Linked DNA regions of Tribolium castaneum. The protein of the gene in region 2 interacts with the protein of the main gene of each other region in a pairwise test. Links are inferred from orthologs where the notes say so. Each region holds a gene or a part of one and is shown on either strand. Other genes may lie near its edges.

Region 1 (16,457 bases), on a different chromosome or scaffold from region 2:
GTGTACACCGGCTCTAAATACGGTGTTGAAAAGTCATAGTTTGAGTGACTCATTTTAAATTCAGTAACTATAAACAAAATCAAACACTCAAACAATTTATTGCCACGTAATAATTTCGTCTTTAATTTCAATGAATGAAAGTGGCTTGCTCAAAATTTAATGCAAATAAACATTTTTTTTTTTTGGTTTCATTTTTATTATTATTATTTTTTTTAATGCTACAAACGGTAGCCAACGTGGAAGCGATATGAAGGTAGGTGTATTTATTTACTGAAGTTTTGAATTTGAATTGCCATATATTAAAACGTATTGTGTATTTTTTATTTTGTTTAATATTGACAAACGTTGCTTGTTGTAACTTTCATGCAAATAAAGATTTTTTTATTGGTGTTGTTTTTATTTTTTAATGTCTTGCTACAAACAGTAGCCAACGCAGAAGCCATATGAAGGTAGGTGCATTTTTTTGCGTTTTATCTTGTGATGTGTTGAATTTAATAGCTTGTGTGCCATATATTATACCGTATTGTGTATCCTTTATTCTGTATAATATTTATTAATGTCGCTTGTTGTAACTTTTCTACAAATTATTTTTTTTTGTTGGTTGTGTTTTTAATTTATTTTTTAGGTTTTGCTATAAATGGTAGCAGATGCAGTATAAAGGTAAGTGCATTTATTTAACGCCAAGTGAAAAAACTTTGATTTTTGTGTACTATTTTTTCATTTCACAAACCAATAATTCTTTTATTCCCTTCATTTTCAAATAATCATTGTTTACCTCATCCTTATGTCCTTTTTTCCTGGCAAGAATGCTCTAAACCTCCACGTGGTTCTTGCCGGACAAATTAGTTATTGACTAATTTGACCAATTAGAGCAATCCTTAAATATAACATTGTTGATTGTTTTTTTCAGTCGTAAAATTATGTCGCTTGTTGTAATTTTTATGCAAATAAAGATTTTTTTATTGGTGTTGTTTTAATTTTTTTTAATGCTACAAACGGTAGCCAACGTGGAAGCGATATACAGGTACGTCCATTTTATTATTGTGTCGGATTTATTTATTTCACAAACCAATAATTTCATGAAATTTAATTGCAATTACAATGTTGTGTTGGTGTTGAAAAGTCATAGTTTGAGTGACTCATTTTAAATTCAGTAACTATAAACAAAATCAAACACTCAAACAATATATTGCCACGTAATAATTTTGTCTTTAATTTCAAACACTCAAACAATATATTGCCACGTAATAATTTTGTCTTTAATTTCAATGAATGAAAGTGGCTTGCTCAAAATTTAAAGCAAATAAACATTTTTTTTTGGGTTTCATTTTTATTATTATTATTTTTTTTAATGCTACAAACGGTAGCCAACGTGGAAGCGATATACAGGTACGTCCATTTTATTATTGTGTCGTATTTATTTATTTCACAAACCAATAATTTCATGAAATTTAATTGCAATTACAATGTTGTGTACACCGGCTCTAAATACGGTGTTGAAAAGTCATAGTTTGAGTGACTCATTTTAAATTCAGTAACTATAAACAAAATCAAACACTCAAACAATATATTGCCACGTAATAATTTTGTCTTTAATTTCAATCACTCAAACAATATATTGCCACGTAATAATTTTGTCTTTAATTTCAATGAATGAAAGTGGCTTGCTCAAAATTTAAAGCAAATAAACATTTTTTTTTGGGTTTCATTTTTATTATTATTATTTTTTTTAATGCTACAAACGGTAGCCAACGTGGAAGCGATATACAGGTACGTCCATTTTATTATTGTGTCGTATTTATTTATTTCACAAACCAATAATTTCATGAAATTTAATTGCAATTACAATGTTGTGTACACCGGCTCTAAATACGGTGTTGAAAAGTCATAGTTTGAGTGACTCATTTTAAATTCAGTAACTATAAACAAAATCAAACACTCAAACAATTTATTGCCACGTAATAATTTCGTCTTTAATTTCAATGAATGAAAGTGGCTTGCTCAAAATTTAATGCAAATAAACATTTTTTTTTTGGTTTCATTTTTATTATTATTATTTTTTTAATGCTACAAACGGTAGCCAACGTGGAAGCGATATGAAGGTAGGTGTATTTATTTACTGAAGTTTTGAATTTGAATTGCCATATATTAAAACGTATTGTGTATTTTTTATTTTGTTTAATATTGACAAACGTTGCTTGTTGTAACTTTCATGCAAATAAAGATTTTTTTATTGGTGTTGTTTTTATTTTTTAATGTCTTGCTACAAACAGTAGCCAACGCAGAAGCCATATGAAGGTAGGTGCATTTTTTTGCGTTTTATCTTGTGATGTGTTGAATTTAATAGCTTGTGTGCCATATATTATACCGTATTGTGTATCCTTTATTCTGTATAATATTTATTAATGTCGCTTGTTGTAACTTTTCTACAAATTATTTTTTTTTGTTGGTTGTGTTTTTAATTTATTTTTTAGGTTTTGCTATAAATGGTAGCAGATGCAGTATAAAGGTAAGTGCATTTATTTAACGCCAAGTGAAAAAACTTTGATTTTTGTGTACTATTTTTTCATTTCACAAACCAATAATTCTTTTATTCCCTTCATTTTCAAATAATCATTGTTTACCTCATCCTTATATCCTTTTTTCCTGGCAAGAATGCTCTAAACCTCCACGTGGTTCTTGCCGGACAAATTAGTTATTGACTAATTTGACCAATTAGAGCAATCCTTAAATATAACATTGTTGATTGTTTTTTTCAGTCGTAAAATTATGTCGCTTGTTGTAATTTTTATGCAAATAAAGATTTTTTTATTGGTGTTGTTTTAATTTTTTTTTAATGCTACAAACGGTAGCCAACGTGGAAGCGATATACAGGTACGTCCATTTTATTATTGTGTCGTATTTATTTATTTCACAAACCAATAATTTCATGAAATTTAATTGCAATTACAATGTTGTGTACACCGGCTCTAAATACGGTGTTGAAAAGTCATAGTTTGAGTGACTCATTTTAAATTCAGTAACTATAAACAAAATCAAACACTCAAAGAATATATTGCCACGTAATAATTTTGTCTTTAATTTCAATGAATGAAAGTGGCTTGCTCAAAATTTAAAGCAAATAAACATTTTTTTTGGGTTTCATTTTTATTATTATTATTTTTTTTAATGCTACAAACGGTAGCCAACGTGGAAGCGATATACAGGTACGTCCATTTTATTATTGTGTCGTATTTATTTATTTCACAAACCAATAATTTCATGAAATTTAATTGCAATTACAATGTTGTGTACACCGGCTCTAAATACGGTGTTGAAAAGTCATAGTTTGAGTGACTCATTTTAAATTCAGAACTATAAACAAAATAAACACTCAAACAATATATTGCCACGTAATAATTTTGTCTTTAATTTCAATGAATGAAAGTGGCTTGCTCAAAATTTAAAGCAAATAAACATTTTTTTTTGGGTTTCATTTTTATTATTATTTTTTTTTTAATGCTACAAACGGTAGCCAACGTGGAAGCGATATACAGGTACGTCCATTTTATTATTGTGTCGTATTTATTTATTTCACAAACCAATAATTTCATGAAATTTAATTGCAATTACAATGTTGTGTACACCGGCTCTAAATACGGTGTTGAAAAGTCATAGTTTGAGTGACTCATTTTAAATTCAGTAACTATAAACAAAATCAAACACTCAAACAATATATTGCCACGTAATAATTTTGTCTTTAATTTCAATGAATGAAAGTGGCTTGCTCAAAATTTAAAGCAAATAAACATTTTTTTTTGGGTTTCATTTTTATTATTATTTTTTTTTTAATGCTACAAACGGTAGCCAACGTGGAAGCGATATACAGGTACGTCCATTTTATTATTGTGTCGTATTTATTTATTTCACAAACCAATAATTTCATGAAATTTAATTGCAATTACAATGTTGTGTACACCGGCTCTAAATACGGTGTTGAAAAGTCATAGTTTGAGTGACTCATTTTAAATTCAGTAACTATAAACAAAATCAAACACTCAAACAATATATTGCCACGTAATAATTTTGTCTTTAATTTCAATGAATGAAAGTGGCTTGCTCAAAATTTAAAGCAAATAAACATTTTTTTTGGGTTTCATTTTTATTATTATTATTTTTTTTATGCTACAAACGGTAGCCAACGTGGAAGCGATATACAGGTACGTCCATTTTATTATTGTGTCGTATTTATTTATTTCACAAACCAATAATTTCATGAAATTTAATTGCAATTACAATGTTGTGTACACCGGCTCTAAATACGGTGTTGAAAAGTCATAGTTTGAGTGACTCATTTTAAATTCAGTAACTATAAACAAAATCAAACACTCAAACAATATATTGCCACGTAATAATTTTGTCTTTAATTTCAATGAATGAAAGTGGCTTGCTCAAAATTTAAAGCAAATAAACATTTTTTTTTGGGTTTCATTTTTATTATTATTTTTTTTTTTAATGCTACAAACGGTAGCCAACGTGGAAGCGATATACAGGTACGTCCATTTTATTATTGTGTCGTATTTATTTATTTCACAAACCAATAATTTCATGAAATTTAATTGCAATTACAATGTTGTGTACACCGGCTCTAAATACGGTGTTGAAAAGTCATAGTTTGAGTGACTCATTTTAAATTCAGTAACTATAAACAAAATCAAACACTCAAACAATATATTGCCACGTAATAATTTCGTCTTTAATTTCAATGAATGAAAGTGGCTTGCTCAAAATTTAATGCAAATAAACATTTTTTTTTTGGTTTCATTTTTATTATTATTATTTTTTTTAATGCTACAAACGGTAGCCAACGTGGAAGCGATATGAAGGTAGGTGTATTTATTTACTGAAGTTTTGAATTTGAATTGCCATATATTAAAACGTATTGTGTATTTTTTATTTTGTTTAATATTGACAAACGTTGCTTGTTGTAACTTTCATGCAAATAAAGATTTTTTTATTGGTGTTGTTTTTATTTTTTAATGTCTTGCTACAAACAGTAGCCAACGCAGAAGCCATATGAAGGTAGGTGCATTTTTTTGCGTTTTATCTTGTGATGTGTTGAATTTAATAGCTTGTGTGCCATATATTATACCGTATTGTGTATCCTTTATTCTGTATAATATTTATTAATGTCGCTTGTTGTAACTTTTCTACAAATTATTTTTTTTTGTTGGTTGTGTTTTTAATTTATTTTTTAGGTTTTGCTATAAATGGTAGCAGATGCAGTATAAAGGTAAGTGCATTTATTTAACGCCAAGTGAAAAAACTTTGATTTTTGTGTACTATTTTTTCATTTCACAAACCAATAATTCTTTTATTCCCTTCATTTTCAAATAATCATTGTTTACCTCATCCTTATATCCTTTTTTCCTGGCAAGAATGCTCTAAACCTCCACGTGGTTCTTGCCGGACAAATTAGTTATTGACTAATTTGACCAATTAGAGCAATCCTTAAATATAACATTGTTGATTGTTTTTTTCAGCCGTAAAATTATGTCGCTTGTTGTAATTTTTATGCAAATAAAGATTTTTTTATTGGTGTTGTTTTAATTTTTTTTTAATGCTACAAACGGTAGCCAACGTGGAAGCGATATACAGGTACGTCCATTTTATTATTGTGTCGTATTTATTTATTTCACAAACCAATAATTTCATGAAATTTAATTGCAATTACAATGTTGTGTACACCGGCTCTAAATACGGTGTTGAAAAGTCATAGTTTGAGTGACTCATTTTAAATTCAGTAACTATAAACAAAATCAAACACTCAAACAATATATTGCCACGTAATAATTTTGTCTTTAATTTCAATGAATGAAAGTGGCTTGCTCAAAATTTAAAGCAAATAAACATTTTTTTTTGGGTTTCATTTTTATTATTATTATTTTTTTTAATGCTACAAACGGTAGTCAACGTGGAAGCGATATGAAGGTAGGTGTATTTATTTACTGAAGTTTTGAATTTGAATTGCCACATATTAAAACGTATTGTGTATTTTTTATTTTGTTTAATATTGACAAACGTTGCTTGTTGTAACTTTCATGCAAATAAAGATTTTTTTATTGGTGTTGTTTTTATTTTTTAATGTCTTGCTACAAACAGTAGCCAACGCAGAAGCCATATGAAGGTAGGTGCATTTTTTTGCGTTTTATCTTGTGATGTGTTGATTTAATAGCTTGTGTGCCATATATTATACCGTATTGTGTATCCTTTATTCTGTATAATATTTATTAAAGTCGCTTGTTGTAACTTTCCTACAAATTAATTTTTTTGTTGGTTGTGTTTTTAATTTATTTTTTAGGTTTTGCTACAAATGGTAGCAGATGCAGTTCAAAAGGTAAGAGCATTTATTTAACGCCAAGTGAAAAAGCTTTGATTTTTGTGTACTATTTTTTCATTTCACAAACCAATAATTCCTTTATTCCCTTCATTTTCAAATAATCATTGTTTACCTCATCCTTATATCCTTTTTTCCTGGCAAGAATGCTCTAAACCTCCACGTGGTTCTTGCCGGACAAATTAGTTATTGACTAATTTGACCAATTAGAGCAATCCTTAAATATAACATTGTTGATTGTTTTTTACAGCCGTAAAATTATGTCGCTTGTAATTTTCATGCAAATAAAGATTTTTTATTGGTGTTGTTTTTAATTTTTTTAATGCTACAAACGGTAGCCAACGTGGAAGCGATATGAAGGTAGGTCTATTTTATTGCTGTGTCGTATTTATTTATTTCACAAACCAATAATTTCATAAAACTTAATTGCAGTTAAAATCTTTAAATGCGGTGTTGAAAAGTGAAATTTTGAGTGACACATTTTAAATACAGTAACTATAAATAAAATAATCAAGGAAGCTGTGTCAGTGAGGGCTCTATTTGGCTATATCAGTTCGGGATGCCTGAATATAACCCCAGAAAAATGATAGGTTTAAAAAAAACACTATTACAAATTAGTACATTTATTCAAAACACGGTCACAGATCGGTGTACATACACAAAGAGATATAAAAGGCTACATTTAATGTCATTTTTAGAATACTGATCCTTTGAGATAAGCTAGAGCTACGGAAAAAATTGCACTGACATATCTTACAAATTTTAGGCACAAACAGTCCAAACATGCCGAATCTTTGGACTCAAACCTCTTAAATGTATCTACATCAGTTGACGCTATACTTAAGTACCTGCCTTACAATTACTTGTGCTATAATTTACACTTTGTGCATTCATAAAACGAGTAAAAAATAAATTACGAGTATTTTGAGCTGAAATAAACATTATTGCAAAAAATATCACATAAAACTGATAAAAATTTCGTTTTGGTCTTACACAACCACGGAAATTATTTACACCCTATTAGTTACACGAAGTCTTGTAATAACGTTAATTATTTAAGGAGGAATAGAATAACCGCTTGACCACGAATTATACAATACTACAAACCGATATGTGCTTAAATAAGTCGATCGTAAACTATAGGTCATACCGAGGTCTCCGAATTCAGCCTCAAAACAAACTTATTACTCTTCGGATCAACAACCTCTTCCGTAATATTAAAATGCGGGATCTTTTTAATCGTGCAAAGCAGCGAGACATCGTTTTGCCTCAACTGAAAGCTCGTATTGTCTCCAATCGGGCGCGTTAGCAACTCCTCGCAAATCAGCGCCCACGTCTGCACATCCTTCACTTCCTTATCATTTTGCAAAACGGGCTCGCTCACTAGATACTGCTCGAGGAACGCTTTCGGGGTCAGATCATTACTGAGACAATTGGCTAAATGAGTCAAAATCGACTCGACGGAGTGCCTCGGCTGTTGCCTCGTCACTCTTAAATACTTCTGGAGGGCTCGTGCCATCGACGGGAAAATGGCCTGGGCGGCCTCGTGCGGGTCCATCGGGATGGCAGGCACTTGGTCGTTATGTAAGCGTTTGATATGAGTGAAGGCTTCTTCAGCGGCTGTGATCAGTCGAGCCCTGCGTTTTTTCACACGTCTCTCGTACTCGTGCTCTTCGTAGAAGCGCTCGTTGTGACTCGAGTCACGTCGGCGTGCATGCGCCGCCAACATCGCCCGTGACTGCGACTGTTGCAAGGAGGAATTATTAACACCATCCACTTCGTAAAATTTGAAACTTGAGGAGTTTTTGCGCGATTTTGACACCGGGATGCGCTCCAAGTACGGGTTATAAATGGGGAACTCAGTGTAGTACTTTTCAAGGACCCAAACAGCCGCTCGCTGGATGCTTAACTGGCCTATGGCATAGGCGCGGCTAGCGCCATCGGGGCTCCGCACAACCTTGATGTAATACATCGGTTGTTGGTGCCTGATCTCCATCAAAACTACAGCCAAGTAATGGATAAAAAGTAGCGTATCAGTCAGACTTAAGGCGTAAGCCACCAAGGCCTCATAATCCACCGTTTCCTCCGGTGTGGTGGCGGCACGCGCAGTCTCGGTCACTTGAACTATATAAAACAGCCAATAGGCGAAAATACAGACTAAAACAAAGGCTAGGACAGCCGCCCGAAACAGGAAAAACCTTGGCAAGGTCGCATTCGGCTTGCGCAAGAACACAGCCCAGGCCCCGACCGCCAAAATGGCCATTTTGAACGCCAACGACACCAACTGGCCTTTACATTCGGCCCCGCAAGCTAACAATTTCGCGCTGTCTGCGAGTCCCAGCCGCGAGGACAGCGCAGGGAAGAACCCCAGTTTTGGCAATACGACCATGGCTAAGGGGCTCAAGAAGGCAACTATTGAAAGGATGTACGTTAGCACCGTCCCCATGTATCTTTGGCAGACGAAGGAGAGCCCGGTGTCAGGTTCACCGGGCCAGTTACTGACGTCTTCGGTCGACTGGGACTGCTCGGACGTGTTCCCGGTGATGGCAGTGGTGTTCTCGCCCCAGTTGTCGTCCTGGGGCAGGATTTGCACCTCGATGACCTCCTGGCCGTCGCGGTTGTCGGGGGTGAGGGTCACGGCCGTCTGGAAGGGCGCCATCTCGTCGTTTTTGCGAGACTTGGAGCTTCTGTAAAAAAATTACTTTCAAGATGGTCCAGAATTGTTTGGGCACGAACCTGGTGCTTCTGTGGGAGTGCTGTCGGTAGTTGTTGCGGTCGCGGTGCCCCCGTGAACGTCTCGATCGTGAACTGTTTTCCGATTTTATGGATTCAGTCTCCATATCTCGTCCAGTTTCGTTGCCCATGTATTTTCCCAAAAGCCGGATTTTTTTTGCAAGAAACTGTCATGAGTGGTTCTTTATCAACACTTTTGCGGGAATTCTCGTCAAAAATCCTGATTATTTCACTAATAAGTTCAATGACTCCTCACGTTGATGACATTTCGTAAACATGTATTTGTGCATAAAAAATCCAAACAATTTCCGTTATTTGGAGCCTTAGGCCACTTCCGGGGTTCGTTTCGCTCAGGAGGAATGCATTTTCTTGGGATTTGTTTCGTAAGAGTTGCGTAAATCGTTTACAAATTGCATTTAAATTAGTGCGGCGGCTTGTGTGCGTTTTTCTAATAAAACTGGATCATTTTTCTCAAACGGCACTTGGAACACGCACCGTTTTTTCCCCACACACGTAACCAATTCCCTCCGACACTCCACACATGCTTTTTTATTCAAATTTATTCAAAATTTACTGAAAACTAAATCGGAGTTTATAAAATGTAAACGCCTACGTTTAGGAGCAATTTAATTGCCCCATAAATTATGGCTGCAACATGGCTACCGTGTAAACCAAAAATGACTAAAAACACTAAATAGAGCAATTCCTTCCAATGAATTTCAGTCAAAGAAACCGAGACGAGGAAAAAAATAGACGTAGTCTAGACCCGGGAAGATAAATTTCAATTGAAAAAAAATCCACATTGTCTGGTTATCGCAAAATTGGCAAAAACGCGCTTGGTTTTTTCTTTCCGCCAGGTTTACATCATGTGGCTGCGTCACGTGACCATGACAAAGTGACATTTCTCAAATTCCGGATTTATGTTTACCAAAAATGGCAAGTGATTCGAAAAAGAAATCGTCCAAAGGGCTCACGCCCGAGGAGATCCTGAACGGCTTTCAAGCGCTAAGGGCCGAGCAGCGCACCCTTTCATCAAAACTGACGGAATTCGAAGCCGATTCCAACGAACACAAGTAAGTTTCCGGCCCGGTTGTGGCCCCAAACGTGGGGCTGTGGCGGCGAAACCCACGGCAAATTACTCAAAATTGAGTAAATTTTCATTTTTGAAATGAAATTTTTTTCGTGGTTGCCGGTTTTTTTGTAAAATGTTACATAACCTCGCTTTTACAGAATGGTCATCGCCACTTTACAAAACGTGAACGAAGACCGGCGTTGCTTCCGACTAGTCGGGGGGGTTTTAACTGAGCGAAAAGTGAAGGACGTTCTTCCGGCACTTGTTGCGAATTTGGAGAAACTCAAAGAACTTATTGAAAAGTTGAAAGAACAAATCACGAAGAAAGGTGTGGAGATTAATGAATACAGGGAAAAGTATAACATTAGCTTTAGAGGGTTGGATAATCCGGCCCCGAAACAGGAGGAGCAAGTGGCGGCTTCAGAGAGTAGAGGAAATGTTTTAGTGTCTTAAATATGCATGTGCTTTTTTTATTTACACCTAAGCTAGGATTTTTCTTTTGTAGAATATTTATTTTATGTATTTCATTCGAATTTGGTCGGCATTTAACAAATTCATCTTTTTCTATGAGAGCTGTGCTGGTTTTTTGCAAGGTAATGTAACATATTTCATCCGAATAAAAATTTAATTTGTAAGTGGTTTTTTATTAATTTACCCCCATTACCCAATGACGAATTACGTAAGCACCAATAAATTATAATCTCAATTGCATATTCAACAAAAAAAAACAATTAAATTTCTTTCGTTTTTTGTGGCTGTATTATTGGTTGCCTAACCATGACTTTAAATTATTTCTCTAAAAAATTCAAATGAAAGCCTTAATAAGTTTTAATAAATTAAAGCACTTAATATTCACCACATTAAAAAAAACTGGTTTAATTATATAATTAAATTACAATATAAGTATTATCTAAGATAAAAAAAAGATAGATAGTAAATAATAAACCAATCATTTATTAAATCCTATTTGCTCTAGATATCAGTAGTCAGTATGTGAAGTGACTCAGTTTAGAAAAAACATCATGATAAGTTAACTGATAAAAGATTTTCCTCTTGTTCTAGTGAGACAATGTTTAAGTTTAGTTTCCTTCTTGTTTTTTCTTTATTATTTTACCACAACGAGGCCTTAAACCAGCTATGTTCCGTAAGAAAAGCAGAGAAAAACTGTATCTGTAAACGCATCACCGACAGCGAAGATTTAATTGCCACAGAAGCCGACTGCGTAAGAACAAATTTCGACTATTTCCCGACCTCAGAGCAGCTACCTAAAGACCTCAACCTGCTCGACTTATCACACAACTCACTCACAAAACTGGACGCAACCGAAACGCGATTTTCAAGTGTGACCTTAGAAACGTTGAAATTATCTTACAACGCGATTAGTTTCATCAGTTATGGCTTTTTCGCCGAAATTCCCAACCTGAGAATCCTAGTTTTGAGTCACAACAACATCGAAAGTCTCGACAGTGACGAAATTTTCCAAAAAAACCCAAAAATAACTCATTTGGATTTGAGTTTCAACTTCATCCATGTGATACAAGCCGCGACTTTCTCGCCCCTTGTAGAATTACAAGTTTTGGATTTGAGTTACAATAACCATTCTCTCGGAGAGTCGTTGAGCCAAGTCCGGACTTTAACCGACTCCGGGCTCGGCATAAACCCCAACATTGTGCGTCTTAGTCTCGACAATATTGGGCTTAAGGACGTCCAAAATGGTTTTTTCAGCAACCATACGTATTTAACGCACTTATCTTTGGCCGATAACCGATTTACTCAAGTCCCGCGAGTTCCATACAGTGTGGAGTATTTGGACTTGTCTGGGACGGACATTTCGGTGCTCCAAGCCAAAGAATTGAGTTACCACACGCTCAGAGTTCTAAGACTCGAACGAATGAAGATGCTTGAGACTATCCACCACTATGCCTTCTATAATTTGGAAGCACTGGAGGAGTTATCGGTGAAACATTGTCGCAATTTGCGGGAGTTTAACGAACTGGTCTTTGGCGCTTTGCAAAAAAATGAAGAAACGAATTTGCGGAAATTGTCTTTGGCTGGGAATGGTTTACAAAGTTTGAATTGGACGTATAAGTACCTCTTCCGAAGTTTGGATTTTATTGATTTGACAGACAATCCGTGGAAATGCGACTGTGACATACTGTGGTTGCAAGAATTTGAGAATTTATACAAAAGTGAAAACGTGAAGTGAGTCACTTAAAACTTGTGTTTTTTTTTCGTAAAAATCACTTCCAGGTGTTCCTCCCCTTTATCTCTCCGCTCCAAGCAACTTTTCGACGTGACCGACGAAAACGTCCCAACTTGCTACCCCCAAAAGTACGGCAAAAAGTCGCACCGAGTCCTCATCGCCTTTTTAATACTCCTCGTCTTAATTCTGGCGGCTTTGGTCGGCTATTTGTTTTATTACTCCCCGAGCTGGTGGAGTGGTAACAGGTCGCGGGGAATCGGCCCCCAGTCACCCTACAGTGCGTCCAGAATCGGCGAAGAATTGACTTAACTTTGTTAAAAATAAAATAAAATTATTTCACGTTTTGCTGATATGTAATTCCGGCGGTGTATCAAGTCCCGGTCAATCGTTTTGAATGTAAATGGGACAAAGCGATTACCATCCACCCTTCCCTATTGAGTTTTTCTGCATCACCGACTTCTGTCTATGCACACAAAATCTAACAGAGCGAAAAATAATTGATAACTATTTTATATCGATTCATTATTTTGGATTTATTTCAGGCAGCGGGGCTCTAATGCGCTCCACGAATTCAAATAATTGGTGTTGCGCGAGGGCTGACGTAACAAATCCAAAAAATCAACCCTGTTTTAGGTCAAATATTTTGGAATTAGCATAATATTATTAAAAAAAAAAGGCCAAGAAAGGAAAATTTGGACAAATTATGAGGTAAAAAAAAGATTTTGATTATGATAATTTATGGTTTGTTTTCACATAACTTCATGTTGGTATTAAATTGAGTCATGCATTGTCGAGTTTATTGTTTTTTTTTGTTGGTAACATTTTTTAAGCCTTCTTCTGGAATCTGAATCCTAGATTAGAAACACTATTTTAAATACGTTTCCCATGGCAACGTGTTTTAAATTAATGTTTTCAATATTTTGGAACACGCTTCTCGCATACGCTCGTTGCATAACGACAGTCCTCGCACTTTAAACTTGTGTTTTCACACTCTTATTATTAATTACTATAAAAAGTGAAAATCTCTTAGAGAAATGCATTAGTTTTTTGAATGATATACTCGTAGAGTTTGAGTTTACTTTTATTTATTTTATTATTAATTTTTAAAATTTTTCTGAAGGAATTTTTTTAAGTAAATTGATTTTTTTTAATATCAAGTTTCTCACAATTTTTTAGTTTTTTGAGCATTTTTTTTTCTTTGAGGGTGTGATTTTTCGGTCCATCAAATAAAAAAACTTGGAAAAAAATGACAAAAAAGATATGTAAATAAGGGTTTGAAACGATAAAAATATAGCTATGATGGCACTAGAAAATTGTGTATTCAACTACAAGAAAAGACAAAAATGTGCACTGTATTATGAGCAAAAAATTCAAATTACCTACAATAAGTCCAGAATAAAGACTGTGACAAAATTTATTAAAACTAAATAGTTTGGTATGTTATTGAAATTTAAAGAAAATCTACAGGTTTTATTTTCATAGCCCAAGTAAAGCTTATGTACAAACATTGTTATTCATAAGATTTATTTTTTTAGAAATAATTAGTTTGAAAAAAAAACACAAAGTTTGATCAAATGGGAACGTATTTGGCTTGTTGTGCAATTGAATCGATTTTTACTTAATACATTTTTAAACATGTGCAGTGAGCTTTCCGGCTTAACCGTGGCGTGAATTAAATGCTTTTTAGATCATCCCCCTCCGCATTTAACACATCACTTTAAGCTCATAATACCGTATGCAACTAAACAAGAATCACCCCTGATTTTTTCAGTTTGTATGCAGTAATAGGATTGCACCATGTATGTTTTGTTACAATTACCAATTTACCAGATGTAAATAGGATATATTATGTTTTCGGGGATGACATGATGTAATCCTTGAATGAATCAATAAAACGCAAGCGGAAAATAGAACAAAATCGGGCATTCTTTGACGAAAAAAGCTCCACAAATAGCTCAGACATCTTGTTCATGCTCATCTGAAACCTGAAGAACCCTTTATGTGTCCATATTTGATAAATACGCATTGAAAATCGGGACAAAGCCGTGCGGTTATGAAAACAGATCAGAGATAAACCCGGTGTACAGTTTCCGAAATGTAATATTTTGGCAAATTGTGGTTATTAAAACACGTTCACAGGAGAGAGATAACATCGGACATTATCACCAGGCTTTTGTTTTTTTTTCTTCAACACGGTTCAAATAATAGAGCGAGACCGTAACAATAAATACTTCCTTTGGCAGGAACGAGCTTTCTAATGTCGATTACGCCGATGGACCCAGAGATAGGCAAAAGCGTCGCTCATTTTGTACATCAATTAAAACACACTCGGTGTGACAATAGATGTCGAAACGACGACGTGTGATAATACGCGATAATAAAGACACTTAACAATCGTATCGACCATCTCTATGGTACACGGACTCACTAATGTCATCTGCCAATGGGTTTTGGGTTTCCTACCGGTGCACGAGGGGAGCACCAGAGATAACCCACGTTTCGGTAAATGACGACCGATTACCATCTAGCGTTTTATTGTGCAGAGGTGCGAGGGAAGATCGCCAAGATTAACGAGCAATAAGTTGATCGAAAACACTTTTTTATTAATTTGTCAGTGGCTTACAAAAAAAAAATAATAACTAATACTCGAAAAAGATTTTCTATTACTACTGTATTAGTGAGATAGGTCTCAGAATTAAATTCTCTACGACTTAATAAAAGAAAATCTTTGGCATTTTATTTAAAAAAATTGAGTTTTGGGTGCTTAAAGTTCTGAAAACTTAACTTTAAACATTTGGAGTTAGTTATTTTTTTTTAGCAATTTGAAAACACCAAAGAAAAGATCTAGACTTTCTCTTTGAAATGAGCTAAAGATATTTCCATTTTTTTTTTAAATGGCGAAGTTATCGATTTTTGAACTGGGAGAAGCTAATTCAAAAAAAATTAAAAACTCTAAATATTTGGTAAACGATTAAATTTAGGTATAGGAAAAGCTTATAAAAACTACCTTAGAATAACTCTAGTAATCCAAAAAAGCATTAAAAAATATACCTTTCCATTTAAAATAAGGAAGGTGATAGCGACTTCCGGTATAACCGGAAGTGTCACCATTTTGAAAATATTTTCATTAAGCAGGACCTAAGAGATTATGGTCGTATACAAATTTTCAGATGATTGTCATTATTATTAGAACTACCATTACTTCTAATGGGAGGTTTAGACGGCTTGGTAAAATCTACATAAGAAAATCTAAGAGTTGCATACCACATTTTTTTTACAACTACAAATAGAGTCATAGCAAACAGATCATTTTTCCGAGTGTATTAATTTTGTCAGTGGCTTTTTCCAACTGTTGTGTTATTAAATATATCCATGCCCATGGTGAATGGAGCACATGGAGCCCCGGTGTCAATCATCTCCGTAAATCCGCTTTCTCTATTGTGGTTTGTCGGATTAGTCCGGCACTCCCTCCTCAAATCGAAGCTAAAATATGTAGCGTGTACGGACCTTATGCACCGTTGTTTGCATGTTTGTGTTGCAAAGCTCCTTAGTGATGCGATTAAAAAGGTACAGAACGGAAACACGTCCCTAATCCTCTTGGATTTCCCCCCGATTTTGGAAAAAATCACTCTTGGTCGATTTTGAAGACGAGTAGCGTGTTGTAACCGAATTCGCCAACCCTATACCGAATAAAAGCCGAACGAGCGAGCAACAGGGTATAAAATCGATATTATTCGCATCAAAGATCAAATTTAGCCTGTAATCGGCCACCTTATTAGCAGGCGGCTCATTTTCCATGGCTTTCTCTAATTTCAAGCGCGCCTGTCTGAGCGCATCGGCCCCCGCGTACGATACTCCTTTGTTACCGAATTATCGCAGGTAACTTGATAGCCAGATTGCAACATTTGGGTTACAAACAAAGTGCAGTCAGAGATGCGTTCGTAATTTTTCTGGCAATTTTGTTTACTGTTTTATTAATATCCAAATCGGGGGATCCGATTTCCAAACCAGAAAAAAGGGACCGCACGGATCGCGGATGCCACGGAACCACCGGACGAGATATAGACACTTAC
Region 2 (16,432 bases):
CTTGTGAGGAATTAGAAGAAATATGTTCTCTGTCGAAAAGGGGACCAGCCATTAACCAGTCAAACTTATCCATTGAAGACATGGTAGCGTCAATTATATCGCAGCGGGATTTGTTGACAAGTTGAAGAACTGTGGGTTGTTGACATTCAGACGCTACTTTTTGTCCAACTTGTAAAATCATATTAACGTATTCCATCGCATTCGGTCAGTAGAGAAACCTACAAATAATTTATTATAATAATAAAACGGCCTTTTGTTAATGTTTTTGTCAAGAATTGTTTTATTTTTATTTGGGTAAAGCGGGCTTTAGTTTTGCATTCTACTAGATTGATGATCCCATTATGACTCAAAATAATATCGCGCTCGATTATTAATTAATTAATTTTTTGTAGGTAAAATTTTGTCTTCTTTTTAATATCTGAATTCTAGATTATAAACGTGTTTTAAATTAATGTTTTCATTATTTTACAACACGCTTTCCAAAACAACGTGTTTTAAATTAAAATGTTCCAACAAAAAAAAAATGAATAACACAAGTGTCTAGGTCGTTGCATAACGACAACCCTCGAACTTTAAGTATGTGTTTTTGCACTCGTATTATTAATAACTTTTAGCTGTTTCAAAACGATAAAGACGCCAACGTCATATACTCTCTCAATATTAGCTGTTATAAAATATTCAGGCACTTCAAAAAAATATTAGTTAATGTAATTTTTACTTTCAATAAAAGATCTAATCACTAGTAACTAATTTACAACTTTATTAATCTTATTTAAAACAATAATTCAGTAAAAGGCGACGTTGGCGTTTTTTGTAGTTTTGAAACAGCTAATATATTGGTACAAAGCAATAACCTTAATTTGACTTCTTTACACCATTAAATTATGTAGGTATTAATTTCATACAAAATAATAACAAATGTTTTATAGCTGGACACAATTGTTTTTAAAAAAATGATGAAATTTTAATTCACTTATTTATTTTTTGATCAAAACATTTGCTTACAATAAATTTTTTGAGACGGCTTTCGAAAATGTGTTGAAGTAAGCTAATTTAATTACTAAAACTTGTCAAAAAAAATTCTCCCTAATTAATAATTAGATTTTTTAGACTATTACTTATATTATAGTATACCCATTAGCCAGCAAAAACTATAAGTTTAAATCTGATGTAGAGTACGTTATTTTAACATTTTTTAACATACCACTTAATTTTGTGAACTTTGTTTCATAAGCACGACTTACAAACACCCAGATCAAAAAAAAATATATTTATAATGTTAAGACCGGTTATGGTTAAAACTATTTATCTATATTATTGTGTCGATAAAAAATAATTTTGTGGTGAGAACTGAGGAAAAACATGCAAAATACGGGATGTTTACTATCTTAATATTATGTGTTGTAAAATTGTTATTATACAGTGTGAACTAAAGTAATAACCCATATTTTTGTAATTTATTTTTCAAAAAAATGTTCGGAGTGCTTCATTTATACACAATTCAACAAATATAAGTTTATTTAGTACTCATCAATGCTTTGAAGTAAATAGGTAAATTTTTCTCTAAAGAAAACTTATGTACTGTGTTTTTTGTACTCACCAGAAAGGAATGTAGTCACACTGAAAAAGTAAAGAAAAATGTAATAATTACTCAAAAAGCAGTAAAGACGTCATATTTTGCTGGTGCAATAAAGTCAAAAAGTAGCATTTTTGTAAATAGATTTCTAAGAGGATTCAAAAATCGAAAATAGGTACTTACGTATAATAAATACAAATTAACTCATAACAATAACGACTTCAAAAATAAAAATTGGAGAAAAGGTTTGAAATGCACCCTTCTATACGTTTTTAAGAGAACATTTTGTAACTAAATTTTATATTTTAAAATTAATAACTATAGTTGCTCTATTGTTTTGATAAAATATAACTAACTATTAAACTGTTTTTTATTTAAAAAACTATTATGGTGCAAATAACTAAGCTGTTATGCAATGACAACTCATATGCCAAAAGCATGCTATTGGCACCACAATAGACACAAAGAAACTGCACGTCTAATCTACAGAACTGATAGACTTACTGTCTGTAATCTAATAATCTTATTATCTATCTATTACAAGTTTATATACTAGGTGGGCAGCCTTATCGCGCACCTTAGGACGTTCAGGCTGGTGTGTAAAATTTTAGGATTTTTATTTCATTAGAAGTCGCGACTTTCTTGGGTGCGCGATAAGGTTGCCGCATCCAGTATAAATAAGGAAAACTGAAATAAAGCATGTTTTTTTAAAAATATTTACTTATAGCGAGCATTGATAAGATTATCAGATTTATTTAATACAGGATCATAATTTTATTTTTAGTACTTTGTTACACAAAGACTAACAAATTCTAGAAAAATAATAGTTTCATCTATCTATAAACATTAAACTCATATTTCAAGGCATTTCAGGCACAATATTATACAACCTGTTCCGTATAAACTCCACATTAGAAGTATTGAAAGTTGGTTCTCAGTCATAATCTGTCAAGTTCTGCCCAATGAAAATATTTTCAAGATGGCGGCACTTCCGATTATACCGGAAGTCGCTATCAACTTTTTTGTTTTAAGTAGAATGTTAAGTTTTTCACTACGTTATTACATATTATTACTTATTACTATACTTTCTATATACCTAAGTTTAACCGTTTTAGAGATATACTAAAAGTAGTTTAATTTTGGCCGATGTCGTATAAATGTATCAAATAACACTTTCCCATCTGCTACTAGTTTTGTCTTTGTTGTTACTATGCGAATGAGTGAAACAAAATACAAACCGTCAAGCGTAGCGAAAAATGGGAGGGTCTACCAATCGTCCCCAAACTATGGGATGCCACTTTGGTATTTGTTATGTTTATTGTTGTTAAATAAATTAATATGTCTTTTATTTGTTTGCCTGGTCAACCCTATAAACAAAATGTTTACTATTATCAACAAATATACATGTTAATTATGAATTTCAATTTGAAAGTGATTTTTAAATCCTAAAAACTTTTTAATGTGAACAATTTGTAAACAGCATTGTTTCTTACTCTCTTAAAAGATTATGTTATGTTTAATTTGTAATTACTTAATTTACTGCTACAGCAACTTTCTAACACATTATAATGGTATTAATTCCACTAAAGGTAAAAATAGGATTAGTTTCTTAGACACAAGTAATTGGTTGTAGATAAGGGTTTTCACGTTAGAAAGTTGGTTTTAAGGGTTTAAGGGTCACTTTACCCTTATCCTACTCTCACAAATTCAGTTGTTTCTACATCTGATAATAGATAGGAGGTATCAGTTACTTCGAAAAAATGTATGATAAACATAGTGGTGAATTAATAAAAAGTATTGTTAAGTTTTTGTTAAAAAACTTGGGGCCAGTAATTCCTGTTCAGTGCTACATAAGACGTGCTGCAGAAGCATTAAAAATTGCTGAGAACATTATAAAAAATATTATAAAAGAAAATTTGGGTGACAGTTAAGGGATTAAAAGAAGTATTGGAGAAAAAACACATCTACCAAGGCAGTTGGTCGAATTTGAGAAAGCTTTTGCTGTCTATTGGTATGTATTTTGTTAAATATCTTGTTAAGTACAACGAATGCATTTTTTTGTTTTAATAAAATTTAATTACAGTCGAACTTCTCTAACTCGAATCGTCAAGGGGAACGAATATTTGTTCGAATTAGAGAAATTTCGAGTTATAGAAACTGAAAATATTTTTTTATTAGAAATGAACATTATTACAGATTTGTATGAACATACATATATATTTTCTTTCTCAATGCATATAACTTGTGATCAGATTTTGACGTACAGTTTTTTTGATACAATTGGTTTCATAAAATCGCTCGATTTTATTTAGTGAATTATAAACAATATCAGTTGTCATATTGGCAGAATTTCCAATTTCCTGAGCAAACTGTACCGTTGACGCTCTGTTTTCATTAATTTTAGATAATGTACTCGACGGAATTTCATATTTTTTTTTCTTTTTCACCCCACTGTCCATTTCTTTTTCAATAGTTAGATGCCATTTTTCTAGAAAATGTGCCAATTTTTGCGAAACTAAAACTTGCATAACACTGCGCCGAATTGTGACGAATAATTTCGAGTTAAAGAAGTTCGCGCATGCTTTGTTCATTAAAATAATTTTGAGTTAGAGAAATTTTCGAGTTAGAGAAGTTCGAGTTAAAGAAAGCTAAACACATGTAAATAAGATTGGCAATGCAAGGGGAAACAAAAATTTTTGAGTAAGAGAGAAATTCGAGTAAAGGAAGTTCGACTTAAAGAAGTTTGACTGTAGTTAGTTAAATATAGTGAGGCCAATTTACAAAACACTTAATTGCAATCAAATTTTAATTCGCCTGATATAAACCGGCCCCTAGGTGTAATATGACTTATGAGTAAGCATATACGTATAATATAACATATTTTTGTTTTTACAGAGTTTCATTATAAAAGAGACTGCAATCGACGAGCTCTGTGTCAGAAGCCACAAATTGTTTCAAAAAGATTAATTTTTTTGAGAAAATACGAGGAGTATAAAACAGTGAATTTATACGACTTTCTCGACGAGACATAGATTTTTGCCAAAGGAGGAACTTGGAAAACTTGGAAAACGCTTCCCTAATATTTTCTTCAAAGACAAAATCAGACGATTACCACGACAACGTGTCTCCTTGAAAAGCTCTTACCGTCTTTAGAAGATCCGACAATAATTGTATTAGACAACGCATCTTATATTCTTAAATATTTAAGTTTTTTTGAAAATTATTGGATTTGCACCTGACACTTAAAAAATTCGGTAGCTTTTTTAGTTTGAGAAATTTCGAAATTATCTTTGAAGAATTAAAAGAGAAAGCCTATAAAATCTGTTTTCTAATGTGTTCAAAATTGGAAAAGAAGTGTAAAAAACCCAAAATTTTAAAGTTAAGTTTGTACAACTTCAAGTACCCATAACTTATATTAATATCCTAATTTTTATTTTACTAGATGGAGGAGAATATTTTTCTTTATCGATCTATATTAGCATTTCCTATAACCATCTATTATAAATACAGGCTAATCCAGAAATACTGAGACTGTTGGCAACATTGAATTTAAATTTTATAGAATACCATTGGAGTACGCTTCCAGTTAACAACAATTCAACAATCTTGTGGTATTGTATGTTAAATAATTGTCAAAAGTAATCGAATTCGGTTGCAGTCTTGCAAATTACGAGCCATTGTTGCCAACAAACTCAGTTTTTGTGGATCAGTGTGTAATATTCTCAGTGATAGTCCAAAACTAGCTGTATATTTGGTTGCCTATCCGGCAACAAATTTTGACCAAAATTGATTAATACAAAATGTAGACAATTCCCGAATAAGTCAGGAACATAAAATCAAATAAAGTGGAGGTTAATTTATCTTTTTATTATTAGGTAAACATTTAAACACAGTTATAAATAAATCATGTACAAAATTAAACTCAATTCTGTTGCTGTTGCAGCTTTAATTCCACAATTTCCACAATAGCATCTCTAATTTTGCTTTTTTCCAACCCCAAAATTTGAATTTTCTCCATCTGTTCTGTCACAAACTGAATTTTCCGCTTAAAGTAATCTTTAGCAGCATCAATATCCTAAAAAATTCAATCATTAACACACAATTTCAACATCAACATTGCTGCACCTTTTCTGCATAATATCTGGTTCCGATATCGATCAACACATTGTTGGTCTCGTGCAACTTTCCAGGCACGTACATCTTAAAAAAAAACTTTCATTAAAGTTCGTAAATATTACTCAAATTACCGATCCTGTTAACGGCACTAAAATCTCTTTTCCATCCGAATCGGGGCCAACTTTCTCCAGAGACTCTCCGGAGTTTTGAAATTTCGTCTGTGCCATTTTGAGGGACGCAAGAGATTCTTGAAAGAGCGACAATTCCTGGAAAAAGAGCAGTTTTTAGAATCATGTGCAAGGTTTGAGGTTAGGGCACATACCTGGTCTAACTGTTGCTTTAACGTTGATAACTGCTGGATATTTAGCGTCATCAGATCCACTTGCTTCATATTAGGCTGTTCTGTGGACGAAATTTGAGCCATTTTTCTAATAAATTAATAACTAATAAATGGACAAACAAGGTAGTGTCAAATAGCAATGGAGTAGAGACAAATTGCACTGTTTGAATGAACTACTCGTCGAAAGACAATGCTGTGTCTTTCATACAAGCACTGCTTTGCATTATTTTTTTAAAATTGTTTCCAGTTAAATAAATCTGTATACGTTTCGTATTTATTGGTACATATTAAAAAAATTAACAGCAAGTAGTTCCAATTTAGATACATTTAGTAGATAAATTGCATCTATTGGACTTTCTTGATTGGTGATTTTGTAATAACGTTTTTTGAACTTGATGTTTGTACACTTCAGTCAGTTTTATGATTTAATTGTGTTTTTAATAAGTTGAGAAGTCTTTTGAACAATGTACCGACGGTCAAACAGCAGCTCCCAACTTCCAGTCCCCAATAGGTCACGCTCAAAGTCTTCTGTCAGCAGGTAAAATAATGTAAACTTGTAGTACCTAATTTAGGTCCTGGTTTATTAAAAAAGTAAAAAATTACCAAAAGTACCCTTCTCCTAAATTCCTTCTTCAAGAAATTCAAATGAAATTATTGGCTCTAATTTGTTTTAAAGAGTTAGTGCAAAAGATGACAATGCAAAAAGGTTCAGGGCGAATTCCATGGACCGAACCTTAAATCCGCCCTTGAAAAGATCAACAAGTTCGTCAAATTTGAGAAGACCTTCGGTTACTCCATCAGTTAGGTTTTGTTTTGTTTCGAGAACTTTATCACTCTAATGCTGATTGTAGGTTTCTTATAAAAAATCAACGGTCATTACTCCGACTCTGGTAAAACAGTAAATACAATTGACATAACGTTAAACACCTATTTATTTCAGAATTCTGGGTTAAAACGATCAAATTCTGTAAGTGTTTTAAGTACGGATATCTAAAGATTAGGATACGAAACGATGTACATACAAATAAAACGTTCCCGTTTTTAATGGTTCCGCTAATGTCGCCAGAGGGCGCAGTTAAAAAAGTTTTCTCTCTTAATACGCAACAGAATTTCAAATACAGACTGATCCAGAAAAACTGAGTCTATTGGCAACACATTTGAAAGTATTTGTGCTCGTAATTTGTAACATTGCAACCGAATTCGATTTTTCTTGACAATTATTTGACGTCCAACTCCACAAGAATGTTAAATTCTTGTTAACTTGAAGCGTACTTCATTGGTATCCTTAAAAATTTAAGTCCAGTGTTGCCAACAGACTCAGTATTTCTGGATCAGTCTGTATTATGTGTACATCATATTAAAGGTTTTTTAATTCTACAGGCTAATGCGTTGAAAAAGTAAACTCCTTTAAGAAAAGGTTTAATTTATTTTTGAGATATTGCGATTGATGTAAAAGTCGCGTTATTTTATCAGTAAACTTCAAAATTTGTTTTAGGGTTTTGATATTTATTACAAAATATGAAATTTCAACTAATTTAACAAACGCCATGTAGTAGAACACTGTTGTTTTTAAATTATCAATGAATAGACTGATTTTGTCATATAATCCCCCATAGTTTATTGCTTTTGCCTATAGAGGCGTTGCTCGTGCCGTTTCTGTGGATGGTCTTTTGGTTGCTACCTGTTTTTGTCCCAACTAAAGCAAAGGACGGATTGTGGTCATTTTTAGTGTTGTGTAATTAGTGTAATTACCATAATATTTTTCGGTTATTTTAAAGAACCAGTGGCTGAAACATATGAGGGACAAAAGTTATTTTTCTGATAGGAGATTTTTTGAATTTGAAGTTTCCTTAACTATTTTTTTAAATAACTGCTTTGTAGGTTTATTTATTATGCATATCAATTTTGAACATTATGACAAAATGAGAAAATAATGTATTATTATTATTATTAAATCCATAATTTTTGCACATAAGCCATTATCTTGTTATTTAAGTTCGCCTTTTTCAGTGTAGTATATCACAGAATAAGTTTTTGTAATATTAGAGATCAATATTTGACACTGAAATTGGTATACAAGTGTGTAGTGCGTAATTTTTAAATTCTTTTTTTATATACAGTCTTCACTAAGTCAAAATTTTGAATTTTGATGAAGAAACAGCCACTTTTGTTTGTTTGGTTGAAAACTTGGGATTATGTTTTGTCCAAATTTAGATTTTTGTGTTTTTTGAATTCATTTAATTTTTTTCGAACATTGGGCTTTTCGGGTATTATTTCTTGATGTCGCTGGGCATTTGATTTACACAAGTGCAGATTCCTAATATCCAACCTGGAGGAGCTGCTAAAAATGGTTTTTTTTATATCAGGCCAACTTCTTGACTTTTTAATATTTTAATAGTCACTTTTTCTTACTTCACCCCTTACCTCATATTTATTAGCATTTCCGCGAAACATTACATATAATAAATTTTCCACCATAATTTGTGAACAAAAAAAAAAGTTTTACTGAGGTGATGGTGTGTATTTTAATAAATTATTTTACGTTGTTACTTATAACTAAACTCAAAAGCAATAGGTTTCACGTTAATATTTGTTGTTTTCGGTTTATAACTTTTATGTTACTTGAAATATTGCCATGTTTCATTATTCGATAGATCGACTTACAAGTACACAAACTAAAAATATTTTTACTGCACACAGGGTGTTGTATACAGGCTCGTGAACCAAAGTTATATTTTTTAAATCAAACCCCTTATATATTTTGCATAATTAGATTCTACGCAAAAAAAATAAAACTGTTATGGGTCTATCTCTTTTCGTTTCGGAATTATTTAAGTTTTTGTTATAAAAAAGACCAATTTTTGAAAAATCATTGCGAAGTCACCTATGAATATTTTCCGATAAATTTGCAACAGAAAAACTTGGAATATTCTGTAGTTTCAGCATTAGTCGACTTTTACTTGAAACACCCAGATAATGTACAGATGTGCCAAAACGTAAAAAAGTTGAATAACTCATATATTTTTCAAATGGAACACTATGTATTTCTTTACACGTGTCGATAGCATTTTTATAAGTTTTCTAACGATATGCGGTTTGTATAGTAAATTAGAAATATTTCCTAAAGTGTTTTTTTCTTTTTTCTTTTATATTTTATTATTAATTTTTGATGTGTAAAATTCATTGATGTATCAAGTAATAATTAAATTACTAATGTAATTAGTCACATTACATTAGTACATATCAAAAAATTAATTATCATTTGACAAATCAGATTCTAGGATAACAAATTTCTTGTAATAAAATACTTTTTTTTAATCTCGAAAAATGTTTTAAATTTGCTATGTAAACCCTATACCATTAGAAAGCTTATGCAAAATGCTATCGATACGTGTAAAAAATACATGGTGTTTTTTAAAAAAATTGACTCATTCAACTTTTTGCGTTTTAGCACACCCTGTACATTATCTGCGTGTTTCAAGTACAAGTCGACTATTTGCTAAAACTACAAAATATTCTGAGTTTTTCTAATGCATAAATAATCACTTCACAGTGATTTTTTAAAAATCTTTTTCATAACGAAAAGTTGAATAATTCCGAGTCGAAAAGAAATAGATCCAAATAGTCCACATAAAGTTATATTATTTTTTTGCGTAAAATTCAACTATGCAAAAATAATTTAAAATAAGTTATATTTAAAAAAATATAACTTTGGTACACCAGCCTATATACAACACCCTGTATACTGGGTGTGGCAACCTTATCGCGCACCCAAGATAATGGCGACTTTTGATGAAATAAAAATCCTGAAATTTTACTCACCAGCCTGTACATTGATAAGGACCATTCTCGATTTTTATTAAATTTTTTTGTTAATAAATGAAGTCGTAGCAGTTTTGTGAGTTTTTGGGCATTAACTGTTAATTTGACTACAAAGTTTTTAGACCAAATGAATCCTTACCTGCTAGCCCATCGAACGCTGGTATCAGAATTATAAATTTTTACTTGGTTGGTGAAATAATCGGTCTTTTTTATTTAGACGCAAACTAGACGCGTTATTTATTAGAAGATGATATAATTTGCCAACAAAGGGATCAGTTACCAGTAGCCGACCTTTTTGAAGCCCCTTATTTACAGTCTTGCAATAAAACTGATGCCTGCATTCAAATATCCTATCAAAATCTTTTACAATCTTACCCCAGTTACAGTTCACATTGTCACCACAAGTAGCCACTCAAATAAAAATAATTTTTAAAGTTAAAATGTAAAAGTGCGTTTAATTCAAAATCTCATTGGTGTTTTTCTTCGCTAATTTCGTAAACAATTATCTGAAGTGAATACGCGTGGTTTACTATAAAATTTAGAATTTGACTCTTTGGTCGAAAATTACTTTTTTTAAATTATTATTTTTATCTGCAAGTGAAAAATTACCAAAACATTAGGGGAGATACCTTTCGAACGTACAGTCAGGCGTGTAAAATGCAATTTTTTTTATTTAATTAGAAATCGCGATTTTCTTAGATGCGCGATAAAGTTGCCCCACCTGGTATAATAAAAATATTTGTAGTTTGTGTACTTTAGGTCGATTTATCGTATAATAAAAACGGCATAGCAATATTTTAAATAACAAAAAAGTTACCGATTACACACCCCTAGGTCACCCTGTATCTTTAACCGTATTCGCAGCGTCTTGAAAAATACGGAACGAAGCGCAATTTCAAATTTTATTAATTAACTTTTTTCTCATGTTTTTTACGAAAATGTTAGTTTTTCTCAGTCTGTCTGTAAAAAGTGCAAAGCTCAACATTTCTGCCTTTTTTCCAAGTAATTATTAAATTGATTGGATTTAAAACGATTTGGCGATTTTGTACCCGTTTCATCTCCTAATACCTTGTAATACTCCGTACTTTTAAGTTTTTTAACAAAATTATTGATAGAACCTCACAACACCTCGCTCGCGCAGCAAATCCCCCTACAAGATCGGTTCAGCAATAAATGACAAAAAGTGGGTTTCGGACCAATATGCCAAAGTGAGTTGCCCAAATTTGGCGATTGGATGAGAATGTTGGATGTTTTAGGTCTTGCGATTTCTCAGAGAACACCCCAATTGCCCTGAACACCTTCCCAACACCATTAAACCACCAACCATTAATTCATTTGTGGCCGTTTTCAACCTCCTATTCAAAGAAATCGATCCGCGCTTTGAAGTCAACACAACTAACTACAAAGATATTGTCTTGAACACACTCAAAATTTATCAATTTCCAGGGAACATTTCGCTTTCATTGCTAAAAACTGGTAATAGTTAATTTAAGCTTAGTTATTTCTATTTTAATAATTTTTTTCAGTTAATACAATGCATGCTTGGCCACAAGTGATGGGTATTCTTGGGTGGCTTGTTGATCTTGTTACTTACATAACACAGACAAATGTAAATTCAGCTCTAGAACAAGATCCCAAATATCAAAAAGTTGAGGTTGTTTTTATAACATAATAAAAAAAAATTGTAATAATTATCAATAATTTTAGTGTGTTACTAATTATGTTCTTGAACGATACCAGTTGTACAACAATAATGACGATCAGGAAATTGCAGATCAAGCAGTTAGTCAAGAACTTGGTTAGTTTATTATTATTACAGATTAGTTTTGTTTTTATTTTATTGTTTTTGTAGTAAAAGTTCTTGATATTGATGATGCGGAAACTAAAAGGCAGCAAGAAGAAGTAATCAAGTTAGAACAGTTGAAAGAGCTACGTTTGGAGCAAATAAATGAACAAAAAAACAAAAATGAGGTAAGTTTTTTTAGAGCAAATGTTAAACTATTTCTTTATCAACTCTTTTGAGTAGATAAAATAGCACTTTACCCGAAAGGGTACACAAAATGTTTTAAATTTATTCAAACAAATTTACAAATTACAACATACCGGGTATTTTAGTTTCGTATTCGCACCCTTGTACCTTTTTTTTATTAAAACAAGTACAACATAAACATAATATACAGGGTGATTTTTTAGGGCCTACATTAGAAACTTTTTGACTTCTAACGCAGCTAGAGCTTTGAAATTTTGTATATAATTCTAAATCGACCATCGAGTTCAACTAAATTATTTACAAAATTTCAAAACTATGAAAAATTGGCACCAACTTTGACCAAATTTTCATTTGTAGAGGTTCATTCAAAATATCACAGCTCTTGAACTCTTTAAAAAAGTGAATAGTTTTTTTGCATTTGATAACCAACGGTTTGAACGATCTAAAATTTTCAGGCTTTGTCAACTGTCAAATTACAAGGCTACTATGATTTTTTTGAAAATCATGATCAAATACCAGCTTTTTCAAATAGAATGATCTTTTTTTCTATGACAATAAAAAAATCTTTTAGGGTCTGCATTAGAAACTTTTTAACTTCTAAAATAGCTAGAGCTTTGAAATTTTGTATCGATACAAATTGACCATTCTGAGTTCAATCAATTAAATTGTTTTTAAAACTAGAGCTTCCGGAACTACAACTACTTGGCGCCAACTTTGAAATTTTAAACAGTAACCACACATTTTTATCGCATATTTGAATTAACCTTCTCAAGCTGAGTAAAATTTATTCAAGTAGTTGGTATTTATCTGTCATAGTTTATGATACATGTCAATTTTTTTATTAAAATTTTCATTTGTAAGATATCACAGCTCTTAAACCCCTTACAATAAGTGAATATTTTATTTGCATTCGATAACCGAAGTTTTGAAGAGTCGTCCAGAATTTTTAAAATTGTCATCTGTCAAAATTCATGGCTAGTATGATTTTTTTCAAAATCGTTACTAAAAAATTGTCATAACTCAGTTTTTTTAATGGAACGACCTTATTTCCTTAACAGCAGTCGAAAGAACATCAATATTTATGGTGATTTTTATCAACACGTCCTACACCTCTCTTATAGTTTTTAAAAAAAATCACAAAAAACGAATTTTACTTCGAAATTTATATAGTTAATCAAGTAGACCTTGCAAAATGGTCAACAATTGTCATACTTCAATATTTTATTTAGTTCTTAGCTCGTTGATTATCGTAAACAGTAAAACAATAATATTTAATTATGGTTTATTATAACTTAGTGAATTATGTAACGTAACTGAGTCAGTCTGCCATCGAATTTTGAACTTCTTTAATGAAAATGGTGAAGAAATCGAACAATTCTTTTAATTAATTGCACATATTTACCATCTTTTTTTAATAGTTTACTTGAATAAAATGAAAATAATGAGCTAAAATTCAGTTTTTGCAATTATTTCAAAAACTGTAAGAGATAGATATAGAAGATGTTCATAAGAGTCTGCATAAAAATTGATGTTCTTTTGATTGGCATTGAAAAACAGGGTCATTCTATTGAAAAATCTGTTTTGTAATCATTTTTTAGTCATCTTTTTAAAAAAATCATAGTAACCTTGAAATTTGACAGTTGACAATGCTGTAGTCAATTCTGGTGGTTCAGGAAACATATGTCAACTACACAAGCAGTTTTAAATCTTATTAACCATAATAATTATAAGTTGGTATTATAAAAAAAAAAAATTTGACCAGCTACAGTCACAGTCACATAAAATATTAATAAACAAATTAAGATATTACAATTTCACAAAATTTAACACTAATCAATTTTTATCTTCAAAATAGGTATCAAAAAGTATGCATTAATAATGGGACTGTTGTTTTAATTGGACCCTTGTTGTTTCTCTTATACATCAACATGTAATTCTTATCCAGATTTAAGTTAATTTTGTGACGTGTGTAAAATACTCTGGTAGTTTTATTAACACAAAGAATATTCTCTTCTATTCATTTTGAAAATAATTTAGTTGAGCTCAAAAAAATCGTCTTGGATGTAAACAAAATTTTAAAGCTCTAGCTATGTTAGAAGTTAAAACTTTTGTGCAAAACAAAGTTACCTGTGTGCGAATACCAAACTGAAACACCCTGTATTATTTGAGGGATTTGTTAGGTTAGTTGTAAATAGACCATTCAACCTTATAACTGTTTATTGACTAATATCCCGGAGCATTGAGGGTGCGTCCAGGCCCCTTCTGCGACATAACCTAACTAACTCACTCTGCCAAAAAACCCCCCTCCAACTCCCGTGTCGCCCACGTGAGAGTTGCCAACCTAACATCCCCCCTTTTAAATACAAAACTAAGCTAAATATGAAACTAACTACCTGAGGTATCAAAATATACATATTTCAATAACAATAATAATCTTGGTATCTTTTGGGTCTTCTGATTGGTCTTTTCTTTGGTTCCTCTGATTCGTCTGGTTGTTCTGGGTCATGTTCGGGTTCATTATTTCTGTCTGGTAAGGGCTGAAGATGTCTTCGATTTCGTCTGACGCAACCGCCGTCAGTCTCGATCAAATATGACCTTGGTTCTTCACATCTGCGTTGTACTTCTCCCTCCTTTTGCATATTTATGATCCATACGCGATCACCTTCTTTTAGATTTTTCTCTTCTTTTGTTACTCGGTGTCGTTTGTCGTAGTTGGACTTCTGTTCTGCTTGATTGTTGATTAACGTTTGTCTGACAGTGTCATGGTCGATAGTTGCAGGTTTTAACCCTGAAGGTAACCTTGGCAGTCTGTCTCGAAGGTTTCTGCCAAAGAGCAGTTGGGCAGGTGACAATCCACATTTAGTAGGTGTATTGCGGTAGGTAAGAAGTGCAAGATATGGATCTTCATTTTTCCTCAATATCGTTTTGAGCAGCTTCACAGCACTTTCGGCTTGTCCATTTGACTGTTGGTAATGGGGACTACTGGTAATTAACTTAAATCCATATTTTCTGCTGAAAGTTCTGTATTCGTGACAATCAAATTGTTTGCCATTGTCGGAGCGGACAACTTCGGGTATACCATGTCTAGCAAACATTTCTTTGAAGGTCTCGATAACAACTTTGGCTTTGGTGGTGCGAAGTTTTCTGATTTCAGGATACTTGGAATAATAGTCCTGTACCACTAAGTAAGTTGACTCATGATATTCTGCGAGGTCGGCACCAATTGTTTGCCACGGTCTAGATGGAACTTCGGATGGTAACATGGGATCTACCGTTGGTCTGCGTAGTTTGATGCAAATTTCACATTTCCCGACGACTTCTTTAAGCTCTCTTGTGATACCTGGCCACCACACAGTAGCTTTGGCCCGGTCCAAACATTTATTAATACCGAAGTGTCCGTCATGGAGCACATAGAGGCACTTCTTCTGAAGAGGACCAGGAATGACGACTCGGTCTTTGTAGCAAACAATGTCATGAGCGATGCTTAAGTCTTGTTGATGAGAGAAGAATTTACTGACTAACGGGTCGCTTTTGTGTTTCTGTGGCCAACCATTTTTGACGTATTCTTTGAGTTTGCTGTACGTTGGGTCCTTGTTTTGGTAAGACTTGATTTCTTCCGTTGAACAAATTTCTGTAACGACCTCACGCATCACGAAATTGATGTAGAGATTTTGAATGTCTTCTAGAAGTGGGTCTTGGTGTCGAATTCTGCCTTGGATTGGTGCTCTGGATAATGCATCGGGAACGAAAAACGTTTTACCTGGAACGTATTCTATAGTATAGTTAAATTTCAATAACCGCATGCGAAATCTTTGTAGCCTGTTGGATAGTTTGTTGAGCTCTTTGGTGGCCAAAATTACTGTTAACGGTTTATGGTCGGTATGAATTTCAAAATGAGCGCCCAGTAAGAAATTTTCGAGTCTTTCACACGCCCATGTAATGGCGAGAGCTTCCTTTTCAATTTGAGCATAGGCTTGCTCGCATGGTTCGAGGGTACGCGAACAAAAATAAGTAGGTTTCCAATTTCCGTCACTTTGTAACTGTTCTAAAACGGCACCTAAACCAAAAGACGATGCGTCTGCCGACACTCGCGATTTTTTGTCCGTGCTAAACTTGGCTAACACGCGCGATGATGCGATTTCACTTTTAAGTTTTTCAAAATCCGCTTGATGTTTATCTGTCCATACAAACTGTTTATCCTTGTGCAGTAGTTCACGTAATGATTGGGTTTTTTTCGAAGTATTAACGATAAATTTTGAGACATAGTTAACCATGCCGAGGAAAGTTCTAACTTCGGTTACCGACGATGGCGCGGGATAATTATTAATGGCTTCAACGCTTTTGGGATCGGCTTGAACACCATTTTCGGATATTAAGTATCCTAAATATAAGGTCTTGTTCGTTTTAAATTCACATTTGGATTTGTTTAAAGTCAAGCCGTGATCCGATAAGAGTGTTAACACTTTGTTCACGTTTGTGTCATGGTCAGCTTCGTTGCGGCCTGTGATGAGGATGTCATCAGCATGAACATGGACGTGTTCCATTTTTAATTTGCCGATTACGCCGCTGATGGTTTTTTGGAAAACTT

The links.
Region 1: the proteins of Pfdn5 (region 2) and Pfdn2 interact in binary tests that used the Homo sapiens proteins (3 or more experiments, as listed by UniProt). The link is inferred for Tribolium castaneum from reciprocal best matches to the Homo sapiens genes PFDN5 and PFDN2.

What each region holds. Positions count from the first base shown.
Region 1 is NC_087397.1:2,590,589-2,607,045, forward strand, and holds Pfdn2 (prefoldin subunit 2), read left to right. Parts: upstream 1-9,965; 5' UTR 9,966-10,042; coding exon 10,043-10,182; intron 10,183-10,339; coding exon 10,340-10,634; 3' UTR 10,635-10,816; downstream 10,817-16,457. Other genes in the region: Vang (van-gogh), read right to left, coding at 7,521-9,063, 9,113-9,216; chondroadherin, read left to right, coding at 11,251-12,383, 12,432-12,693. UniProt on the Homo sapiens protein: Binds specifically to cytosolic chaperonin (c-CPN) and transfers target proteins to it. Binds to nascent polypeptide chain and promotes folding in an environment in which there are many competing pathways for nonnative proteins.
Region 2 is NC_087400.1:9,613,000-9,629,431, reverse strand, and holds Pfdn5 (prefoldin subunit 5), read right to left. Parts: upstream 6,196-16,432; 5' UTR 6,117-6,195; coding exon 6,015-6,116; intron 5,959-6,014; coding exon 5,824-5,958; intron 5,777-5,823; coding exon 5,702-5,776; intron 5,652-5,701; coding exon 5,499-5,651; 3' UTR 5,423-5,498; downstream 1-5,422. Other genes in the region: uncharacterized protein LOC103314387, read left to right, coding at 6,497-6,570, 6,709-6,832, 6,884-6,922, 6,973-6,999, 10,970-11,062, 11,111-11,330, 11,381-11,508, 11,562-11,652 and 1 more. UniProt on the Homo sapiens protein: Binds specifically to cytosolic chaperonin (c-CPN) and transfers target proteins to it. Binds to nascent polypeptide chain and promotes folding in an environment in which there are many competing pathways for nonnative proteins.